Linked DNA regions of Rattus norvegicus. The protein of the gene in region 1 purifies or fractionates together with the protein of each later gene. This does not show direct contact. Links are inferred from orthologs where the notes say so. Each region holds a gene or a part of one and is shown in the gene's direction. Other genes may lie near its edges.

Region 1 (4,105 bases):
AGACTCCAGGAAGAACTTCCTTGCGGTCTAGGTTAATCGTCCTGCCTTTTCAGGGGTTAGAGTTTAGAAGGGATGACCCCGAAACTGGGACAAGAAGCACAGGCAAACCTTGTGCCCTTGGCCAGGGTGGAAAAGGGTCTGACTATTTTAGGAAAACGCCACACGAGTTACTATGGTAACTATTCTCCTTTGGAAGGCCAAGACCCGCAGGTTATGACCTGGGAAGGAAGAGAGGGTCGATTCGGGTGGCTAGAGGGTGCGAGGATGTTCGAAGCGGGGGTGCGCGGGGCTCACCGCGGGGAGGGGTGGCGCGAGTTCCGCGAGGTGCTGAAGGGGACAGCGCCAGATTTGTCGTAATGCGCAAGCGCAGAGGTGCGAACAAAGCGGGGGGGGGGGTGGTGGAAGGGGAGGCGCGCGCCCGGGGGTGGTGCGCGCCCACATGTATCTTGCAGAGATCCTTCGAGGCTACCCCTTCCCCAAGTAGGCTGAGATGAGGAAGCAATCCCCTCATCCACCTTCACCCTCTTCTCTCTTTCCGGTGCTGGTTGGCCTTAGCTACATTGAATAATGAAGTAGTGTAGTAGGAATTCTGGGAAAACCAGGATTTCTGGGTTCTTTATCCTTGCTTCGTTTGATCCTGGTTAAGGAGCTTCCTCGCCAGAGCCTCGGTTTGTCCGACTTTAAAATGGACGGACCCTCCTACCTTTGCTGGTGTATCCAAACCCCCTAAGCCAACGGATGGGAAGCAGCATTATGAAGCGGCTGAAATGTTTGCACGCAATCATGTAGGATGCAGCGTGCCCCCCCCCCATCAGACACTGGAGGAAAATATTACGCCAGGGGTTCCCCAGAGATGGACTTGGCTTAGCATTTGGGGATGCAGAGAAAGGAAAGTCTTATGATTGAGCTTTGGGGAGTCACTCTCCCTCCAATTAATCCAGGGCCAGTCAAGAAACAGTACGACTAGTGGGCTACGCTGAGCATGCATTCCCTTGAATTTTGGACTTCTGGAAAGGAAGCCTGGCTGTATAGTCTTTTCTTCTTGGGCAAAGAGCCGACCTACGCTGCCTTGAAGTGGAAAGAGATGGAAGTCATGATTGTGCATTTCACGATTCACAAGGAATGATAGGTTTAGACAAGTTTGCTTGATAATAAAAATCCTGGTGTCGCCCGCTTAATCTACTCTTTTGGTAATTGCTTACTGAGCACCTACTACATACCAGTTAGTTATAGTCTGGGCAGTCTCTCCCCCTTTTATTTTTCCAGAGTCGCTTAAACGCGACCAGAGGACAGAGGAGGCACTCGGTAACCTAGGAGTCCTGGCTCCGCCCCTTCTGCCTTTGGCCTTGTCTGCTCCTCCCATCACCACTCAGAGGCGGCTACCGGCCCGCAACGAAGACCGAAAGCAGTCTTCGCTCGCCGCTACTCCAGCCTCGGGCTTCAAGCCCTGTAGCTGAGAAGACAACTAATGGTGCATCACTGGTCTGTTCTGCCTCAGTTTCGGGGTCCATCCAGAAAGCTTCCCGATAAGGATTCTCAGTGAGACCGCACTCGATTAAATCGGTCTGTCTCTTCAGACCAAGGAGGCGGGTTCGCCGCAGCCGCTTCAAGGCCAAAGCTAGTAAAGCTTACTGCGCACGCGCAGTATACAGCGATGGAGCCACCAATGGAGCAGTCCGGAGGGGAGCAAGAACCAGGAGCCGTCAGGTACCGAGCACTGGAGGGGCCTAGGGAGGGGAAAAAGGTACCCGCGGGAGGGCAGCTGAGCCCGGGCAGGACCCGGACCCCTCTTGCCAGCTGGGACTCTGGGGTATAACAGAAGGACTCGCACGTAACAGCGGCCGAGGGACGTCAACGCCGCTTTCCCTTCAGGCTCCTGGACCTGCCCTGGGAAGACGTGCTGCTCCCGCACGTCCTGAACTGGGTCCCGCTGCGCCAGCTGCTCCGGCTGCAGCGCGTCAGTCGCGCCTTCCGGGCGCTCGTTCAGCTGCACCTGGCTAGGCTGCGCCGCTTTGACGCCGCTCAGGTGAGCTGGGGACTGGACCCCGCCCCCGCCCCGCCCCCGCGTGGGTACCACCGTCGCCCCGCCTCCAGGCCAGCCCCAGCTGCGCGGTAAACCCTTTCCAACCCCTGGTGCGACGTGGAGAACTCCGGTGGGCGAGTACTGAGCGGCGACTCGGAGGGAGCTTGGTGTCTCTCCGGGGAGGGCAGGTGGCAAAGTCCCGAAGTTAGGCGGCTGCCAGGCAGTGACCGGCCCCGGGGACAGACTGATCTCCGTGCCTCCCGCCCGCAGGTGGGTCCACAGATTCCACGGGCCGCACTAGTCCGGCTACTGCGAGATGCTGAGGGGTTGCAGGAGCTGGCGCTGGCTCCGTGTCACGAATGGCTGTTGGACGAGGACCTGGTGCCGGTGCTGGCACGGAATCCACAGCTACGGAGCGTAGCACTGGCCGGCTGCGGCCAACTGAGTCGCCGAGCACTCGGAGCGCTGGCTGAGGGCTGCCCGCGTCTGCAGCGCATTTCGCTCGCTCACTGTGACTGGGTGGACGGGCTGGCACTGCGTGGCCTTGCTGACCGCTGCCCGGCTCTGGAGGAGCTAGACCTCACCGCCTGTCGTCAACTCAAGGACGAGGCCATCGTGTACCTGGCGCAGAGACGCGGCGCGGGCCTCCGCAGCCTCTCGTTGGCAGTCAACGCCAATGTGGGGGACACCGCGGTCCAAGAGTTGGCTCGAAACTGCCCGCAACTCGAGCACCTAGACCTCACCGGCTGCCTTCGGGTCGGAAGCGACGGTGTCAGGTGCCTGGGCATGGGGGCGGTACGGTAGGAAGTGGGCAGTCACATGGGGATGGGGAGGCGGGTTGTACTTGTCAAAGACCCATCAGAAAGGCCTCTAGAATATTTTTAGGCTAGAAAGTGTACAATTAAAAACAAACAAAAACTTCTGATCCAAGATTGACACACTGTGAGATGTCACATAAAGTTAATTTCTGGCATTTCTGCAACAAAGGGATGGGTAATCTTGAAACACTGGAAAGAACTATGGGTTGGTATTCTCTAAGCACCAGAAACCCCAAATGAGCTGGGGCCTGGAGTCTGTAATTCCATCCTGGCCCCTTCTCATAGGGACAGTAAGAAAGAGCAGGCCCTGAGCTGAGGGAAACCTAGAATTTGCTGGAGCCAGAGCAGGTTTAGCGAGCTGGCCCTACAGACAGACCGCGAGAGGGCCTTCAGCACCTAGCATCACCCTGCTCCTCCCTCAGGACACTGGCGGAGTACTGCCCGGCGTTGCGCTCTCTGCGGGTGCGGCACTGCCACCATGTGGCCGAGCCCAGCCTGAGCCGCTTGCGGAAGCGTGGTGTGGACATCGACGTGGAGCCACCGCTGCACCAGGCCCTGGTGCTACTCCAGGACATGGCTGGCTTCGCACCCTTTGTCAACCTACAGGTCTGACTGACTTTCCTTGGGTGGGAGCACAGCTGGACTGTGTAGATGGAGCTTGATACTGAGCCGTAGGGAAACTGAACTGTGGGGCCTGCGGTTGAGAGGCCTGGGATAGCCCTGTCCCACCCTGGAATTTCAAATAAAGAGCTTTTTACCCCTTCTTGCATGGTGCATAGGGGATGTGAAGCTGGTCAGACAGACATAGTATTTTCTTGCCCTGGGGCAGAAATCACTAGAATGAACGTACACCTTCCTTGGACAACCTTTACTGTGCTGTTGAAGGAAGCTCCAAGAATAAATTAACACTAGAGCAAAGGCATAGAGAAGGGGTAGGGTGGACGGGAAGGTTTCTGCATCCTTCTGGGATCTGTGATGCCTGGCAGAGTCCAGCCAGTGCCTCAGTGGAAGCGGTACTTTCTGGCCGGCTTGAGGTTGATGTATGTGGCCTTCATCTCCTCAGTTTCGGGGTTCCGTACATCTTTGAATCGCTCTCCTTTGGTGCTCACTACTTGGTTGTCAATGTATCGGATCAGCTTCTTGGGGGCCTGGCAGACAATCAGGCAACGAATGACTAAAACCAGGGGTTGGTACCGCTCGTTCCATATCCCCAACTGCATACCTCTCTTACCTCCTTGGGAGCCATAGGTCTGTGAGTCTTCTG
Region 2 (4,300 bases), on another chromosome or scaffold:
TTCATCTTCTGTCATCAGCTGTGGCACCTGGCAGACATTGGATACCACAGCCATCAGACAAAGACCTGGTCATTCAAGCCATTGCTTGGCCTCTCTGCCCAGACTTGTCCTGGAGAAACTGTAGGCTCTGGTTTCTTTAGGAGGCCCTGTGTGGAAACGTCTTTTGTCTTTGTGGTGCCAGGAATACCATCATGTGCTCATTGGCTAGGTGAGCCTGGCGCCTTGGTGGGGATAGTGATGCTCCCTAGACACAGCGGGGCAGGGCAGGCAAGTGCCCAGTTCCTGGCTGGGCTGAGGCCAGATGGGTCCTTTCAGACCTCTCCCTTTACTTCAAAGTTGTTTCATTCTAGCGACCTTATCACAGCCTTCTGTGAGCTGCCCATACAGCATAGTCTGTTCAGGTTGGGCTGACTGTCCTGGTTCACTACTGGATGGATTCCCAGCGCGGGCCTCACAGGCCTCACACACAGGCAGAGAGCATGATTACCCGAAGAATATACCCTCCATTCCACATCCCTGTTTTCTCTCTCCAGGCTTGGCGCTTCACTCCAACAATGGCTATTTGGGGTGTGAAAGCCTCTTCAAAGTTCAAAGGTAGGAAATAAAGGTTAAGATTATCCAACAAGGTGGTGCCTGCCTCCCAGCGCTGAGCTATTGGAAACACAGATCTGAATTTAAAGCCAGCCTGGTCTAAATAGCGAGTTCCAAACCTGGTTTATCTAGTAAGACCCTGTTTCAAAACAAAACAAAACAAAACAAAAAGAGTATAAGGCGAGTATATGTGGTGAAAAAAAAAAGCCGGTAATCTCACGAGTTTTAGACCAACCTGGTCTACGCAATGAATTTGCAGTCACTCTGTGCCAAACGAGACCCCGTCTTAAAATGCAAAGAAAATAAAAACTAAGCAGGTGCACCAAGTCAGGAGTATTTAGAGACACCTTGACTCAACATCCGTAATTTTTTAAAGCTCAGTTATCAGTGGAGTAAGGTTCAAGTCCTTAATTCCAGGTCGGAAAAAAAAAAAAAAAACCAAACAAACCAAAAACCCTTATTTCCTTGGGTTATTAGGAGAGTAACAGTGGTCAGGCTGAGGTGACTCCTTTAAAGCACACCCACCCACAACCGGTTTTGCGGTTTGTTCTTTCCAGGCTTTTCAGGACTGGGGTCTTTCAAGCAGTTTAAGACAGCCTCTGCCTGAAAGACCCTTCGGGTCGCGATGGTTCCCCAGCCGGTGCCGGCGTCCGCACGGAAGGAGAGCACGGCGTTGTTCAGGACGGCGGAGTAAAGTGGAAGTCCCCCTCCTGCTCAGCCACCCTTCCACCCATCGCCGCTCAGCACCTCTCCAGGAGACCTCTGCGGCGCCCAGAACCTGCCACCCGCCTTCCGCATGCCGTCAGGCACTCTCAACGGCCAGCCCGGCCGGCTGTGTGACGTCACGAACTCGGGGTCCTCGGTGCCCTCTTCCCGCTCCTATAAAAGCTGACGCCGCGCGGCGCTGCTGTAGTGGCCTTGTTCTCGAGACTTCTATTCGGTTGTGAACTCTGTTCGGCAGCCTCAGGCCTGCGGTCTTGAGACCGAGCACGGTGAGTAGCAGCCCGCGAGCCGGACCAGGTCCTGGAGGGAGGGGCTGGGTGGGAGCCCCGGGTTGGCTGTGGCGTGCACGAGGCGGCGAGTCGGCCTGGCGTGTCCTGAGGCGCTGTGCGGCCCGTTGCCGACCCCGGACCGCGGGAGGCGCGAGGCGGCCGAGTCAGGCCTTCTAGGGCCGCCCATCCTTTCGGCGCTCGCTCGCTGCTGTATCCAGCTCTGTGGCAGGCCTGCTCTTTTGCGGGCGACGTCAGTCGGCCCCGAACGCGGCTGCAAGGCCTAGGCTTCGTCCCGGGCCTGCCTTAGCGACAGGCTTGTTGCTCCGCGCTCCAGGGCGGGTTGGCCGCAAGGCTTTGAGTAGGGGTCCCGGGCCTTCCGGGTGGTGGCGGTCGTTGCCACTCGATACTTAGCTCTCTCCCTTCCTCCTGTATCTGGCGACATTTGCTCCTTACTGGTCTTACCTATTTAACCACCGAATATGCAGGTAACAGGTTCCCGATATTTCTTCGCTTTTTTTTTTTTTTTTGTCACGTCCTGCAGTCTCTGAACTTATTGTAATAGACCTTGTCGTCTGAGGTGTGTGACTTTTAGGAGCCCTTGACGCTAAAACCCAAGGTGTTGGGTTTTTAAGGGATAGTGTTAAAACATGCCTCTTGGCTCACTTTTTCATGGAGTCCTCAGGTTTGGAGACTCAGTTTTTCATCAGAATGTTACAGTAGACTGTGTTGTGGCAAAGAACAATGCACTCCCTTCTGCCCTGCAGTCCAGTAACAAGTGGCAGAATTTCGAGTCACTTAAAACAGGTTTGTTTTTAAAGTCTGTTTTAAGTGTACTAGAATTCTCATGCTAGACTTGGATGGTGGTTTAGTTTCCAAGTCCAGGAGCTTAGAGAACTAAAGAAGGGTTTTTTGAAAGCATATCAAATCGAAATCTCATACATTATTACTTAAAAATTTTGCACTTAATTCCACCACAACAAAAGTGAAGTCTAGGATTACAGAGTGCATTGAATTACAGATTAACTGATTGCCTCCCTGGCTCTCTTGCAAGTAACCTGATACCTAAATTTGACTATGACTAAGCATGTCTTTATTGTGAATTATTTCAAGGAAATATGGAATTGTCTTTTAAAATAACTTTATTAGCCACATAGACTTGTTCCTGAGTGATCATTACAGTGCTGGGGACCATAAAGAGAACATAGTGTTTTGCTATTAAAAGCTGGTCTCTTTAACTTTTATTGTTGCCTTATAAGGAGGGTCTGCTGCTCTGGGCTTCTCTGTTCTGCAGCATATTTGTGAGTTGAAAAGTGAACTCTTGAGTCTTTTCAACCATGGATGATTGTGAAACAAGCTTTATCCCCCCCCCCCCCCCAATTATTGTTTACTTGAGGAATGGGGACAAGTGTCTCAGAAAGCTGAATGAATATTTTAGGAGATACGCCGAGTCTTAAGTGTTTGACCCTTAAATAGGTACAATAGTTATTTTAAGTGCTAACCCTATAACACCCAGGTATTCCTCAGAAGCATAAGACCTGCAGAGTTACATGTGAGTTGGGGATTTTGGTGCCCACCTTTTTTTTTTCTTTTTTCTTTTTTCTTTTTTTCGGAGCTGGGGACCGAACCCAGGGCCTTGCACTCGATAGGCAAGCGCTCTACCGCTGAGCTAAATCCCCAACCCCAGGTGCCCACCTTTAATCCCAGCACTGGAGGCAGAGGCAGGTTGATGGCTGAGTTCAAAACCAGTCCTTGCTACAGAGCAAGTTGCAGGACAGCTAGGGCAACACAGAGGAACCCTGTCTCAAAAACAAACTACTAAAAAAAGTTGCTTATGAAATTTTTTTTTTCTTTTTTTTTTTTGGAGCTGGGGACCGAACCCAGGGCCTTGCGGTTGCTAGGCAAGCGCTCTACCACTGAGCTAAATCCCCAACCCCATGAAATTTTAAAGAGGTCTTGAATTACTCTTTTGGAGTAATGAGGGGGAAATCTGAAGATGATAAATTGCTGGTTTAGAGCTTTTAGTATTAATACTGGTTTGCTTTTGTTTGGTTTTGGTTTTTCCTAAAACTCAAGTCATGTTAGGAGCTAGTTGCTTAATTTTTTTAATATATGAAATTATATTTTTCCTAATGACTTATATTTTATCTCAGTTGATGCATTTTTGGATGGGGGGGTTGTTGAGATCAGTTTTTGAGACAGGGGCAAGAAAACTAGGCTAGCCTTAAATTTATTTTGTATGTATCAAGAAGATGGCCATGAACTCCTAATGCTTCTGTTTGCCAAAATGCTGGGATTGTGGAAATACTTATACTCTGTCTCACCTTTTGGGCAGAGGGAGAGGGCAATATTGCAGATTGAACTAGAGCTTTATACATGTTAGGCATTACACTCAGGAGCTGTATCCCCAGCCTCTTTTATATTTCATTTTAAGCAGGCTCTTAATGAGTTCCACCAAGGCTGGCTTGACCTCATTATGTAACCTAGTCAGTCCTTGAAATTATGATCCTCATCTTTCCAAAAACTGGACTTCACAGGACTGGTTCCTCTGTATATCCCTGACAGTTCTGGAACTCACTGTGTACACTGGCCTTGAACTCACAAAGATGCACCTGTACCTTGACTCCCACGTGCTGGAATTAAAGGCATACAGTATTACCATGCTATTTTAAATTTATATTTGTTTGAGACAGATTCTTATGTAACCCAGACTGGACTTG

Evidence for each region. Proteins that work in one complex are often made in the same cells at the same time.
Region 2: the proteins of Fbxl15 (region 1) and Skp1 purify together in Homo sapiens (affinity purification with western blotting; 10 studies listed by BioGRID and IntAct, counting the BioPlex papers as one, with this or other methods). This does not show direct contact. The link is inferred for Rattus norvegicus from reciprocal best matches to the Homo sapiens genes FBXL15 and SKP1.

Annotation. Positions count from the first base shown.
Region 1 is NC_086019.1:255,129,791-255,133,895, forward strand, and holds Fbxl15 (F-box/LRR-repeat protein 15), read left to right. Parts: upstream 1-1,363; 5' UTR 1,364-1,654; coding exon 1,655-1,707; intron 1,708-1,872; coding exon 1,873-2,026; intron 2,027-2,293; coding exon 2,294-2,799; intron 2,800-3,263; coding exon 3,264-3,453; 3' UTR 3,454-3,605; downstream 3,606-4,105. Other genes in the region: Cuedc2 (CUE domain-containing protein 2), read right to left, coding at 3,843-3,989, 4,073-4,105. UniProt on the Homo sapiens protein: Substrate recognition component of a SCF (SKP1-CUL1-F-box protein) E3 ubiquitin-protein ligase complex which mediates the ubiquitination and subsequent proteasomal degradation of SMURF1, thereby acting as a positive regulator of the BMP signaling pathway.
Region 2 is NC_086028.1:36,901,408-36,905,707, forward strand, and holds the start of Skp1 (S-phase kinase-associated protein 1), read left to right. Parts: upstream 1-1,500; 5' UTR 1,501-1,583; intron 1,584-1,621; exon of another isoform or gene 1,622-2,062; coding exon of another isoform or gene 2,063-2,068; intron 2,069-4,300. UniProt on the Homo sapiens protein: Essential component of the SCF (SKP1-CUL1-F-box protein) ubiquitin ligase complex, which mediates the ubiquitination of proteins involved in cell cycle progression, signal transduction and transcription.